2 linked regions of the Drosophila melanogaster genome follow. The main gene of each other region encodes a partner of the protein of the gene in region 2 in a complex. Each region holds a gene or a part of one and is shown on either strand. Other genes may lie near its edges.

Evidence for each region.
Region 1: Gem4b (region 2) and rig share a complex: the UniProt entries of both Drosophila melanogaster proteins name them as parts of the core survival motor neuron (SMN) complex.

What each region holds. Positions count from the first base shown.
Region 1 is NT_033778.4:20,634,450-20,642,568, reverse strand, and holds the start of rig (rigor mortis), read left to right. Parts: upstream 1-1,887; 5' UTR 1,888-1,987; coding exon 1,988-3,419; intron 3,420-3,477; coding exon 3,478-3,790; intron 3,791-3,847; coding exon 3,848-4,010; intron 4,011-4,072; coding exon 4,073-4,226; exon of another isoform or gene 4,227-4,251; coding exon of another isoform or gene 4,252-4,995; intron 4,996-5,054; coding exon of another isoform or gene 5,055-5,404; intron 5,405-5,460; coding exon of another isoform or gene 5,461-6,097; exon of another isoform or gene 6,098-6,177; intron 6,178-6,496; coding exon 6,497-7,389; intron 7,390-7,446; coding exon 7,447-7,612; intron 7,613-7,671; coding exon 7,672-7,822; intron 7,823-7,880; coding exon 7,881-8,119. Other genes in the region: CG11110 (uncharacterized protein), read right to left, coding at 152-573, 639-732; maf-S, read right to left, coding at 1,023-1,403, 1,451-1,483; CG13436 (uncharacterized protein), read right to left, coding at 4,252-4,995, 5,055-5,404, 5,461-6,097. UniProt on the Drosophila melanogaster protein: Component of the survival motor neuron (SMN) complex that catalyzes the assembly of small nuclear ribonucleoproteins (snRNPs), the building blocks of the spliceosome, and thereby plays an important role in the splicing of cellular pre-mRNAs.
Region 2 is NC_004354.4:3,938,984-3,945,048, reverse strand, and holds Gem4b (gemin 4b), read right to left. Parts: upstream 4,203-6,065; 5' UTR 3,990-4,202; coding exon 3,872-3,989; intron 3,819-3,871; coding exon 1,656-3,818; intron 1,597-1,655; coding exon 1,142-1,596; 3' UTR 784-1,141; downstream 1-783. Other genes in the region: Glos (gaulos), read right to left, coding at 5,380-5,834, 5,894-6,065. UniProt on the Drosophila melanogaster protein: Component of the survival motor neuron (SMN) complex that catalyzes the assembly of small nuclear ribonucleoproteins (snRNPs), the building blocks of the spliceosome, and thereby plays an important role in the splicing of cellular pre-mRNAs.

The sequences.
Region 1 (8,119 bases), on a different chromosome or scaffold from region 2:
CTATTCCTTTGGCTTTAACTTTAATTTTTACTTTGGAACATCCTACTTTGCTTTGCATGCGGGAACACAACAAATTGTTTATAAAATATACGGTTCAGTATGTACACAATTGGAACTATCTTGGGCGCAGGCTCTCCGCCAGTTGGTCAGTCTAGTTGTAGTAGTTGCTGGAGTTCTTGGAGGCCTGTATGGGTCTCCGTCGCCGCGGCAGTTCGTTCTCCAGTATTCGCCAGCGTTCCGGTGGCCACACGATGGCCACTGCCCGCGCGGACATCAGGCCCAGGGCGACGGGTCCAAAGGTATTGCTGTCCATGGAGTGGCCTGTGTGATCGCCCTCCACCCAACAATGTCCTTCGGGTACGCGAACGATCTCGTGCTTGTAGCCCAGCGTGGACACGACGTCGCCCTGCAGCCCCACCACGCGCTTGATAATCTTCTGGGCGGGATCCTTGGGTGAAATGAGCGATATTATGTCGCCGCGCTCCACCTGACTGTTGTGGGTGCCCCAGCGCAGCAGGAACACATAGTCCTTTTCATCCGGCACGGGATTGAGAGCGGGCTGCATGGAGATGCCTGCAAAAAGTTGTGGATTAATTAGCGCACACTAACATGGAGCGAATAAACTCCGGACGACTCACCATCCACCCTGGCCACATAACCAACGCAGTCCAGGAAAGTGACGCCAAGTGGCAGAGCGTACAGCAAGGACTTGCCAAAGAACCGAAATGCCATGGATGAACTGGTTGGAGAGCGGAGCTATCGAGATGAATACATAACCACCAGCCTTTTGCCGAGTTCCTTGTGCGCTCCGGATCTTATGACATTCGCAGCGCAGCGCCGACACGGGTTTTGTTTATGCTAAATACAGGGTGCTTCAATAAAGGCGATGCAGAGGTTCTTGAGCAGATTACGTTTATTGAGGAAGGATATTTGCCAGCTATTGTACTTTAGTTACAGGTGTTTTTTTCCGTTTTGGGTTTATTGTAATTTTGACAGAAACAGGAATGTGACTGGGCAATCGTTCAGCAGCCCTCCAGCTCGCTGGGAATGGGTATCTCGTTCTGGATGGCGAACTGCAGCAGCGCCTTGTACTTGTTCTTCCAGTTGGACACCTCGCGGCGCACCTGCTCGTTGTCCTCGTGCATCTGCTCCAGTTCCGTCCACTCGTACGACTTCTTAGTCTCCAGCTCGTCCTTCTGTTCGATTCTCTTGATGCGGCAACTGGCTGCGTATCCGCGATTCTTTAAGGTTCTCCGGCGCTGCTTCATCCGAACGATCTCCTCGCGGTTCAGGCCACGCATCTTGAGGGTCCGATTAAGATCCCTTACCGAAATGCTCACCAAATCGTCATCGGTAATATCCGGAATTGGACATGGCGAAAGTGGTGCCTGAAAATCGCACTTCTATCAGGGTTTTCTTTCTTCTTCGCATATATCTACAAGGTACGTACCAGGGATGACTTTCTCTCGCGCTTTGCTTCCATTGTGGCCGATTGTATTTTATTTTTACGGAGACTTTTAGAATTTGCTAGATTTTTCTACCTTTTTTTTTTGCGTTGTTATTGTGTGTCTTCTTCTTCCTCTCTACCTGCTGGTTGCCATTCACAGGAAATGGATTGCATAGAGTTGGCAGATAGACAAAAAACGTCTGTGGTAAATAGCGGGTAATTTAAATATACTAAAGCTAACGTGATCCCTAGATTTTAGGCTTTGTAGCATAAGGTACTTAGTTATATTTTTAAATTATTTATATAAAGCAGATCCAGATTTTTGTTATAAATACAAGTTCGAAAATAACAAATTTATATTTTAATTATTATCAATTTTAATTAACTGTTAAGTTCCGTGCCTTCCAGGTGGCATCGCTGGCAAAGTTTAAGAAGCTGCCTAACACTAACAGCTTTACAGAAGTTTTTTCCCCGAACGACGCCAACTGTTAGCGGGAAATATTCCTTCATCCTGCAGATGCCAAGTCCTTATTGTTCGCCATGAACTCGCAGGTGATGTACCACAATGTGCCCACACCGCCGGGCAACGTATCTTTGGCGGCCGCTGCTCCCGACGGCGGTTTGCTGTACGCCGGCATTCGCTGCATCAACTACATATCCGCGCCGCCGGCAAACGGAGAGCAGCCCCAAGTGGTGACCATGTCGACGCGGATCAACATACTGGCCCTGGACGTTAGTCCCATGTGGGGCTTGGGCAACGGTGGGCCGACCAAGCCATTCGCCATTGTGGGCGACGATCTAAGCGTTCAGGTGTGGGACTGCGCATTGGGCGAAGCCGTCATCGGGCACAAGGCCCATCAGCACCAGCACGAGGCGCGGGATGTGCGCGTCGTGCACCACACTACCAACTCCGTGCTGATGAGCTACCTGGCCAATGGTAACATTCTATCCATGGACGCCAGTGATCTGGTCATCTATTGTGTGGCATCCAACACCTACTGCCGTCGCTCCACTTTCATCTCGCCCCGAAATCACCAACTCACTATGGTGCGCTGCTCGCCCTACAATGACAATTTGTTCGCTGTGGGAACGGCTATGGGTAATGTGCTGGTCTGCGATCTGCGCAAAATGAACATCGTCTACAAGTTCCACGGCCACAAAGCGCCCATATGCGGCTTAGCCTGGCGGGAGGTGCCTGCTGCCGAGGACGAAAAAACCAATAATCTGGCGTTAAGTGCTGAAGAGTGGCGAAGCCGCAATGGCGGCCAGGAGGAGAAACCCAAGACAAAGCCACCACCACTGACCAAATCGAAGGCAGCCGAATCCGACGACCCTTTCGACATATACAACTTTGATCATCTTGAGTACGAGTTCGGTGCACCTATAGCTGAACGCCGCCGCAAATCTTCAGAGGATTGTGGCGGCGAATTTGTGGGTCTAGAGAAGCCAGCTGGTGCCGCTGTCTTAGATTTCGTTGAGGCCTGCGAGAGTGTGAAAGCCGAACTCTTAGCCAGTCGCCAGGAGGATAAAACGCAGCACGTGGAGGTCACGCTGCATGACTGCGAGCCCACAAAGCCTACGGGTCCCTTAAGTGATGCCAGCACCATTAGCAACAAGAACGATGCCAGCGACTCGACCGAGGGCAGTCTGGAGGTCATCCAGTACAGCTCGTCCAGTGATGATGCCGTGATCGTCGATGGCGAGGCAGCAAAGCCCAAAAGAGAAGTATTGCATCACATCTACCACCAGGCCGAGGTACATGCTTCAGGAACACCGCAGACCAAGTCTGAGCCTCAGAGTAATCTCCAAGTTGTGCCGGCCATCAGCGCGGAGACCATCAGCTTGACATCCGTGAACAGCACCCACTTGGAAACTCTGCTCGTGTCCATTGACGGCGATGAGGTGATGATGATCTGGAATACCAATACGGGAGCGCATGCTGGCAAGAACTACAGCAAAAGCAAGACGGCGGGTAAGTGGAAAGAATCAAACCATTGAAAGCAAGCATTCAACTGGGATCTTTTCTTCAGGCAAGCTTAACAACGTCTACTGGCTGAACAACCATGTCATTGTTTCCCTGAGTCGCCATCAGTTATTCTTTTGGTCCGTGGAGTTCGAGCGCAAGATGCTACGCTACAAGATCAGCAAGGATAAATCACACAGCTGCCATTTGCAAGACATCGTGTCCTTTGCCTGTGACTCCAGCAAAGAGATGATATGGTTGTGCAGAAACAATCGCCAGATTGGAATGATGAATCCTAAAACTGGCCGGATGGCTGACTTTTACGGAACAGTGGCGTTTGGAGTGCGAGCGATGGCCGAGTGTCCAGATGATATGAACAAGTAAGCTAATAAGATAATATGCCATTCGCAAACGTTGCTAAACTGTTTTTCGTTTAGAATCGCTTTGGGTTGTTCGGATCGCCGTGTGGCCTTCTTCGATATATCGAAGCTCACCACCAGCTGCCTGCCCATCGACAGCGTTTATGTGTCCAGCAACGTCTACTGCCTGGCTTGGAGTCCAAACTGCTTGGAACTGGCCTTTGGCACCTTCGACGGAACGGTATGGCTTTGATTTCGTCTATTTTATTGGATATTGAACCTAAATATACAACTCAACAACAGGTGGGCATCCTGGATGTGGAGCGCATGAAAGTAAAGACACACTTACGGACGCCGCACAAAAAAGAAGTCTACTCGCTTGTGTGGCAGGACCACTTTATATACTTTATTGTGAATCGTGTTCTAGGTTTCTTTGATTTAAGAAAATCGAAAATCGGTGAGTATATGTTCTTAGCCGTTCTCTACTTATGTTGCCGACAGTTGTAGGTTTGATTCTGTGCGTTGCGCCTTCCGTAACTAATGTTGGTCTGCGCGTCGTTGGTCTGCTTCTTACGTATATTGGCCAAGTGGATTGTCTCCCGATGATAATCCCACGCATTCCATGTTACGTTTATCCAGTTTGCTGGCGTTAGGTCGTTGGTGACGACCATTTCGGTTTGACACTCAAAATCTGTCTGCTTTGGTGGCTCAACTACCAGATTCTGCAGTTCCTGCTCTATTAGCGCATCGTCCAATTTGAACAGCAGAGCCAGGTTCGCATTGTTGAAAACCACTTTTCTAAAGGCGGCTATGAAAGGCTCAAATCGCAGCTCCGCGAATCGAGCGTATCTTGGGTCCCGGAAACCAAATGTAATGTCCACATTGGAGCACAGCTTTCTGGTCACCTGGGCCGGCATAAGCAGGCCGTTGGTAATGGTCATGGCTAGAGAGCAAAACTCCTTTATATCTGCCTTGTTGAGCTTGCAAAAGTTGCCATCGGTCTGCAACTCCTTCACGGCATCCATGCGTTCCTCAAAGCTGCAGACCTTGGGCTTCTTTATCCGCTTATGAAGCGCCTGCAGCTCGGCAATCGTAGCCTTTGTCAGGGTCATCAAGTCGTCGACGACCAATGCCTCCACCTGCTCCCTCAGCTTGTTTAACTCAACAATGTGGTTCAGGTAGTTGTTCAGATTGCCCCACACCTGAGAGAGGTACACAAAGTGCGGCTGAAAGCGGGAAACGAAATTGGAGAAATTCTCATCTTTTAAATGAATACATCACTTACAAATATAAGCTCCGAATCAATAGCCGTGCGCATGGATAGGGTATCATCAATCTTGCAGATCACGCATTGATATCGCTTATGCTCCACTTCAATTAGGTACACTGTCTTCTGGTAATGTTCGTTCAGAGTCGTCAGACAGCGATGGAGCATAAAGTAGGTCGCCGCAAACTGGTTAAGCCGATCCAAATGTTCGAGGGGCACGCGGTAGGTCAAGGTCTCGTCCTTATGATCTATGTTTATGAGGTCATCCAGTGCCGCCTGGCAAGTGGACTGCATCTTGACCGCCCTTCCCATACTGGCTGCAAATGCGGCTTCCGTGTTCTTCTGGGCCATTTCCAGATCATCGACCACTAAGAAGTATACAGCAGATATGAAATATGAAATGGTTTGCCCTATATGCACATACCGCTTCTAACATTCTCCCGATCTCCATCGGGGCCATCGTTGTTATAGATCACAATGCCGCCCACGGTCGCCGACAAGCGTTGAAGATACTCTAGCCGATGGTACTTCTTCTTCAGGACATAATTCTGTAGGTCACTTCGACCGATGACGCTGTTGAGAGCCTGGGCAGTCAGCTTAAGCAGAACATGATTCTTGGGCGAGCCCAGACTGTAGCAGGCCACTATGAAGACCTGCATCTTTGCGAAGAGCTGGTCCAACTGCACTTTACTGCAAGTCTCGGGATACTGAAGGATATCCTTGATTAGCAGCTGCAGTTCGGTTTGGAACTTTTCCTCGTACTTCTTCTTGACGTATTCAAGGTCTATGGTTACTCCCTTTTTCATTACCCAAGCCATCTTCATGTTGGCCATAGTGCAATCTTTCGAATTGACATAGCTATCCACAATTGTATTCACGAAACCCTCAATGGCACAGGCGGTTGGCTTATTGAGGTCGTACTTCAGGAGACCTTTGCGCCGATCTCTTGCCAGCAAATGAACCATGTAGATGACAAACTCCTTGTCGACCCTGAGATCCAACTGTTTGAAGCGCTTCATAATACGATGACCAATGCTCACTAGAGTTTTGTGTCGCGGCATTTTGGTAAACAGAACAATTTAACCTATTTCGATGAAAGGAAATGTGTAATGTGGTTTGCTTGCTAAGTTTTTGATACGTGTGATATTTGTTGCCCTTGGCTACAGTTTAATCGATTTCATTTTCTTCAAGTAGCACAAATTACTCATGCCATCGAGCTTTTGTTATTCGAGACTTTTAGGCTTGTTTTAATTAATTGTTTCCCACAAATCATTAAAATGATCGCACAATTAGGTGCGGACCTAAAAGACAACAATGGACTTAAAACAAAGAGTTTTTCGTCATTCTGACTAGATTTAATTGTGTTTTAAGTTAATGGATGTATGTATTACTTAAAGGTAAAGCTAGTCAAAGATACATATAAAGTTAATTTAAAATATGCCATTATTATTTTCTTACAGAGCCCACAATTGTGAACTGCATTTCTCGACCCAGTTACCTCAGCATCCGCGATTCTTTCCTTTTTGTTGGCACCGATGATGGACTGCTGCAGATCCATGAGCGCGATTCGGGAATGGAGAAGTCGTGGTCTCCATTTATCCGCCAATCCGCTTTGTTTGCTCGTTATGTGACCGATATCGCCTGGTGCCCGCTGGACAGCAATAAGTTTGCAGTGTCGGGCAACGATAGGTCCGTGTACGTGATGGAGTTTCAGCCCACGGAGCGCAATTGGAAAACGCTTCACACATTTACGGCAAACACAGAGAAGGCGTCGATTACCTCGATGAGATGGAGTCATACCCAGAAGCACTTGCTGCTCACCTTTCATATCGAGGGAAAGGTGTGCCTGTGGAACTGCAATGCGCCAGAGAAGCCACCGCTAACCATCACCTACCACTGCCCCATGTGGTGTGGAATGTTTTTGCCCACCAACGAGAACATCATTATGTGCTCGGGAAAAGCTCTCTCCGTGGAGCTAATTGACATTAAGGACGCGCTGGAAGGCGATGAGAAAAGCATCTGTCCCAAGGTGGATGCTCTGTTAAATGTTAAGTGGGCTAGCAAATCCCTGACCCAGCCATACGCTCCAGTTCTCACAGCGGCTGAAAAGAAACGGCAGCGCCGGGATCAACGCAAAGCAGCGGCTAAGCTCGAAGTTGACGTAGCTAACAAGGATCAAAAGAAAATTCAGGAGTCAGTTACTGCAGTTATTGATAATCCAACCAACGATAAATGTACGCAAGAAACTCCTGTTGAAGAGATGTTGGAAGCGCTTAGCTTGGACAAGGAGCAAAATAATAGAAGTGCCAAAGAATGCCCAAAGTGTAAAGAGCAGTCACCTGACAGTTTCACAGTAAGTTATCCATGTGCTCTTGATTCGACTGAAACCCAATAACATATTTACCAACAGCATAGCCGCACCTGTCTTTACCTTACCCAGAAGGAGCTCAACAAAAGTGCCCTTGAGAAGCTGGCCATTGTTCTTACAGAAGACTCTGCCAAGATCGACAAGTCGGTGCTCATATCGAAGCTGTTCAGCTCAAAAGTGATGGCCAAGGAGCTCATTGCAACCGAGTGTAATTTCACTAACTGACTTATAGTATTTAAAATGCTAACGATAAATGTAATATTTCAGTGACCAATCTGAAGCACTCAAACACCAAAGACATAGCTCCACTTTGCCTGGCCATGTCCACGTTCAAATTACGCGAGGAGCTGGAGCAGCATATAGCCAACAAGACGCTTACCGAACGCCATGTTTCGCTGGCTCCCTCCGTTTCTTTTACGTAAGTTTCTACGTTTTTGTTGTAAATCGGTTTTGTCTTTAGTCTATATTTCTTGCAGACTTTGGCAGGACTGCTGTCGCGCTTATGCCAAGCAGATGGAGGAAAAAGGCTACATCATGCACGCAGCTACGTATCTTTTTAGTCAAGGAATGCAATCGGAAGCCATCAAACTGTTCCTGGCCAATGAATACTATAAGGAGGCCCTTGTACATGCGCGTATTTGCTTGCCAGCAACGGATCCCCTGATCAAGACCGTAATTAACAATTGGCTCGAGCATCTGGAGGGGACGGGTAACT
Region 2 (6,065 bases):
ATATGACTTGTCCACTGCTTGCTATGATTTAACTTTAACTTTATTTATAAACATTTTCATATGATATTTTGTATTTTGCTCAGCTGAAAATTAAATGAAGATATTTTATAAAGTATTGTAATGTATTATTCGATAATTAATTATTTGTATTATTATTGTAATGTTTTATTCGATAATTAATAATTGACATTATAAATATTGCGACTTCTCCAAAGTCAACTGCAGTTTTTTAAACAGTGGTCCTATTTAGCAAATGTATTTAAAATAATGCGATTCGCATGCGGCATTTGAGTTTGAAATCTTTTCGATACTTGTCAAGCATTGGTCGTTAAATTACCTTGTAAAATATATATAGTGTTTTTTAAGACAAGATATTTTTTCTATTTTTTTTTTTATTTAGGTAATTTGAAAATGTTATTAATAACAATTTGCACCAAAATTTTCCTTTCCCTGAATAATGCCATTCAGCTTTTGACAGAATATAAATTAGTTAAATTTATAACATAACGAGTACATGAAATTTAAAAATGTATTAAAATAAATTTTCCTAGTTTTAAGTTACAATTTTGCAACAGGAAGCAAAGCAGTCGAAGTAATACATAAAAATACGAATAAAAATAAGAACATGCAAAATTACAATAATTTTAAGCTTGCCAAAGCATTTATTTAATAGAACACAAATTTGTATTTGATGGTAGTATTACATATTTTATGTAAATATAGTCGGCCTTAAGGACACACAAAGTTGTAAAATAACCTGATATCAAATTATTCTGATGTTCAATCATAGCGTTTTGTATATTATATATATAATACATAATAATACGAAAAAAAAAGAACATGCAAAATTTTATTAATTTTCAGCTGAATAACTTCACTTGCTTGCCAAAGTATTTTTAGTAAGACAAAAAATTTGCATGGTAGTGGTACATTTGTTATGTGCATACAGTCGCCCTTTTAAAGGACATACAAAGTTGTAAAATAATCTGATATCAAATTATTCTGATGTTCAATCCTAGCGTTATGAATATTATATATGTTTTTAGTCATATAGAGATCTGACTGCCTAAGAATTAAAGTGTTGGACAAGCGGCGGAATTTCGATTTGGCTTAAGAAAATTACACTTCTAACAGCATCTCCTTAACACTTGGCCGCCTGCTGTTCCTGGATATTTATGCCGAATCGCACAGCGAAGGCTTTACTAGCTAGCTTCATAATCTCGTTGCGAATGGAGAATGGAGCCTTGGCCACAACGGCCATCAAATGATCCCAATGCTGGCGCTTCGTGATGGTCTTATTGTGTTTGGCGTGGCTCCGGAAGGCGATCAAATATTCTCGAAATAGGAATCTAAAGGCCATGAAAGCGGACTCGCTGTTCACCTTGACCACTGCATCGCTAAGATCGCCCATAACAGCACAATCGGCCCTTTTTTTAAGGAGCTTGTTGAAGAGATCGTTAGCCTCCTGTGCACTGGACTGAGTTAGCAATTTGAGAAAGGAGCGTGTGTCCTTTAAGGTGTCTTCTTTAAGGTAGATGAGCCAAAAGCCCTTGTGCTTTAAACTGTTCACTTGGTTCAAGATCCTCTGGCGGCATTCTGTGAAAGAGCAATAATTAGTAGGCTTTCGTCTTGGACTTACATTTATAAGAGCGCACCAGTGCCTAGGAATGTCAGATGAGACAGACCGTCCTGCCAATACCACACCGCCAGTTCTAAATTATCCACCCGGAAATCTTCAAAGGTGGCCAAGTCCCAGCGTAGGGCATCAATGGTTTTCATGACATGCGAGATCAGCTTCCAGTGTTTCAAACGCCACTCTGGCAAGCTGGCATTCAGATATGTGTAGTGCTTGGCCACCTTGACAGCTGGTGCATCGTCTCCGTTCTCCAATTTCGGGTGCTCCTTTTCGAGTGCATTTAACTCTGCAGTGCCTCGGGTGATTAGATTGCTTTCACCCAGACTAATCTGCTTGAGCAGTTTCAAGATTAACTGCAAGCTGGGCAAGTTCATGGGCTCTATAAACTTGGCCAAACCGTAGGCACACGCGTCTAGGAACCTATTTTGCGCCTGCCTAAGCTCATCCTCTCCGTAGGGACACCGTCCGTCTTTCAAACTAACGCACAGTTGTCGCGCTGACGTGTAGAGACCGTTGAGGATCTGTCGGTGGCCATATAGGTAGAGTGTAAACTGCAAGGCATACGGCTTTTGAAGTAGTTGCTCGTTCACCAAGATGTTATCGGCACAGGCGGAAATATGAAAAGCAGCATGCTTGGGACAAGACTGAGCTATGTGCCAGAATAGCTTCGAGAAGCGAGTATGCGTCACGCCCAAGTGGGAGAAATCAATCCAGGTCTGTCTTGCGTTCTCAAAGCACAGTACTAGAAATTTGGTTATCGGGAAGCGCTTATTATAATCCAATTGATTAAAGAAGCGTATGCGACGCTCCCGATGATCGGGAGCCTTGAAATTAAATCCTTGGGTAACGTTTTGCTCATCGCGCAATAGCAGTACTTCCATCTTGTCCTCGACATTTAATTGCATAAATAAGGGACGCAGTACTAGGCTTAGCAGCTCTTCGTAATCATCGTTGGACGAGGTCTCGTCCTCGTCATCCCCCTGATTTACTTCCGTAACGGATATGCCCTCGTCCTCGACCACCATTTCGGACTCCACCACCTGACCCAGGAAACTGAGTATTATCTGGGCATGTTTCTTGGTGAGCATAATTAAATGATTTGCCATCGTTTCCACGCACTCATCGTTACCAAAGGCTATGAAGCGGCTAAAGAGATTGTCCAGCCCGGCGAGCAACTCCTCATCGGTGGCCATACCGGAATCGAGAAAGACTAAGAGTTCACCCATTCTCATCTCGGCAACGCGCTGCTCCAATGTTTTTGCTGCATCCGCAAAGCTCTGCATCTGCTTGCAAACCGGATGCTCTCCGAGCAACTTATCTGATTGGAGTACTTTAAGCAATTCTGCCGTCTGTCTACAGATTAGCTCCTGGCAGTTATACAAAGCACTTTTCGATTTCATTTCATGCCAATACATATACGTGTCTACGCTAACGAGCTGAAAGATACGCTGCAGAACGTCTAGCAGTATTTGGGCGAAATGCCGCAGATCAGGCATGGGATCGCTTGAGTTGCTGTCACTGATGTCCTCGGTTATTTGGCTGTAGACGGCGAAGCAATTTGGTTTCTCCCGCTTTAATGGATCATTGAGGGTATACAAAAGGACTTCTATAAGGTGATCCATAGCCTTGGCCAGGTAAATCTTTCGAGTGGATGGACGCGGCAGCGTATGGAGGCGCTGTTTAGAGTCCAAGATATGACGATGTTCCATGCAGGCTATCTGGCGCAGCAGTTGCTTATTTTCTGCGGGCAAATTGCAGTTGACAATTGCGCGACCGGCTGCTCTGAGGGCGGCAGAGAGCAGCGGTAGTGTTTCCACGCAATCTGAATTAATGACCGACAGAGCCTCATTGAATGCCTCAAAATACTGGATGGTCAGCCAGCGGGGTCCACAAGCAAGGAATTCCTCCAGCGGCTCCATGAGACAGCAGTTAACGGCTATTGCGATGGTCAAGAACAGTGGGATAGGCGGAAGCTGGTTACACAAATGCATGACATTGGCGCTCCACTGCGATTTGCACAAGAAATAGTCGTGTGCGGTGTTCAGCACCAGGTACACCAGTAGTCCACGCAGTTGATTCATAGCAAAAGGATCCATTGTGTCTGGCGGCTGTATGATTAGATCGTGCTCCTCCAGCAGGTCCGTCACTTGGTCGCAGATCTTCTCAATGTGCTCATCGTTTCCTGAGAACAAACAATGTTCATATTTGGGCACTAACCTCTGGTACTTCACTTACCACTCCAGTAAATCATATCTTTCAGACACTTGGCCTGTTCGTTGTTGTCATGGAATATTTTCTTCAGCTGGACAAACAACTGGCAATTGTCCAGCGGGTGCTTCTCAGCAGTTATCATCGTGCTGCCGAAATTTCGCGTTTCGTCAAAACTCTTCCGAAGGAATTCAATTTTATGTGCGTCTTCTGTCAGATGACTATCGAAAATCGATAGTTTACCGGTGCGTACCGATTATCTTGCGTGCAAGGAATATTTTTTGAAAATGAAAATGTCCCTACAACAAAAAATTTCGCTTTGTAATAGACTCTCTGATGTAGATAGATACTAATATGACTTGTCCACTGCATGCTATGATTTAACTTTAACTTTATTTATAAACATTTTCATATGATATTTTGTATTTTGCTCAGCTGAAAATTAAATGAAGATATTTTATAAAGTATTGTAATGTATTATTCGATAATTAATTATTTGTATTATTATTGTAATGTTTTATTCGATAATTAATAATTGACATTATAAATATTGCGACTTCTCCAAAGTCAACTGCAGTTTTTTAAACAGTGGTCCTATTTAGCAAAAGTATTTAAAATAATGCGATTCGCATGCGGCACTTGAGTTTGAAATCGAGAGATAGATTTGGAATTCGTACATAAGAATACGAATAATAATAAGAACATGCTAAATTACAATAATTTCAAGCTTGCCAAAGTATTTATTTAATAGACAAAAAACTTGATGGTAGTATCCGCGCGTTCTAACGCACTGTCTCTCTTCTTTAGACGCCGTTCCGATTGCGCGGCCGCCTCCTGACGGCTCGACTCGCGCCCGTACTCTCCTCGACTATCCTCGCGTACGTGTGGCTCCTCGCGTGTTGTGACTGACTGCCCCAAGCTGCACTTGCGCCGTTCCTTTATAGGCCGCGGGGATCCCGTTATTTTCCCCTTTGCGCGTCCAACTAATTTGCCGTTAGTTCACAATGTGTGTCCTCTTGTGCGTGTCCAAAGTCCGCACCGTTACTGTTCGACCTCCGTGCCCTTGGCAGGCTCGAGTCCAAGGTCCAGCGCGGTACCGTTAGTTCACAGTCTCTCCGCTTTCCTGGCGTCCAAGGCCGCTCCCCTGCACCCAGATTTGTGGGGACGTAGACTCCTCACACATATTATTCTGATGTTCGATCATAGCGTTTTGTATTTTATATATGTATGTATGTATATAATACATAATTATACGAATAATATGAAGAACATGCAAAATTGCAATAGTTTTCATCTGAATAACTTCACTTGCTTGCCAAAGTATTTTTTAAATAGACAAAAAATTTGCAAGGCAGTAGTACATATGTTATGTGCATACAGTCATCCTTTTAAAGGACATACAAAATTGTAAAATAATCTGATATCTGGATTGAACATCATCCTAGCGTTATGATTATTATATATGTACGTCTTTAGTCGATTAGCGGCGGTGTTTCGATTTGGCTTAAGAAAATTACACTTCTAACAGCATCTCCTTAACACTTGGCCGCCTGCTGTTCCTGGATATTTATGCCGAATCGCACAGCGAAGGCTTTACTAGCTAGCTCCATAATCTCGTTGCGAATGGAGAATGGAGCCTTGGCCACAACGGCCATCAAATGATCCCAATGCTGGCGCTTCGTGATGGTCTTATTGTGTTTGGCGTGGCTCCGGAAGGCGATCAAATATTCTCGAAATAGGAATCTAAAGGCCATGAAAGCGGACTCGCTGTTCACCTTGACCACTGCATCGCTAAGATCGCCCATAACAGCACAATCGGCCCTTTTTTTAAGGAGCTTGTTGAAGAGATCGTTAGCCTCCTGTGCACTGGACTGAGTTAGCAATTTGAGAAAGGAGCGTGTGTCCTTTAAGGTGTCTTCTTTAAGGTAGATGATCCAAAAGTCCTTGTGCTTCAATTTGCTCACTTGGTTTAAGATCCTCTGGCGGAATTCTGTGAAAGAGCAATAATTAGTAGGCTTTCGTCTTGGACTTACATTTATAAGAGCGCACCAGTGCCTAGGAATGTCAGATGAGACAGACCGTCCTGCCAATACCACACCGCCAGTTCTAAATTATCCACCCGGAAATCTTCAAAGGTGGCCAAGTCCCAGCGTAGGGCATCAATGGTTTTCATGACATGCGAGATCAGCTTCCAGTGTTTCAAACGCCACTCTGGCAAACT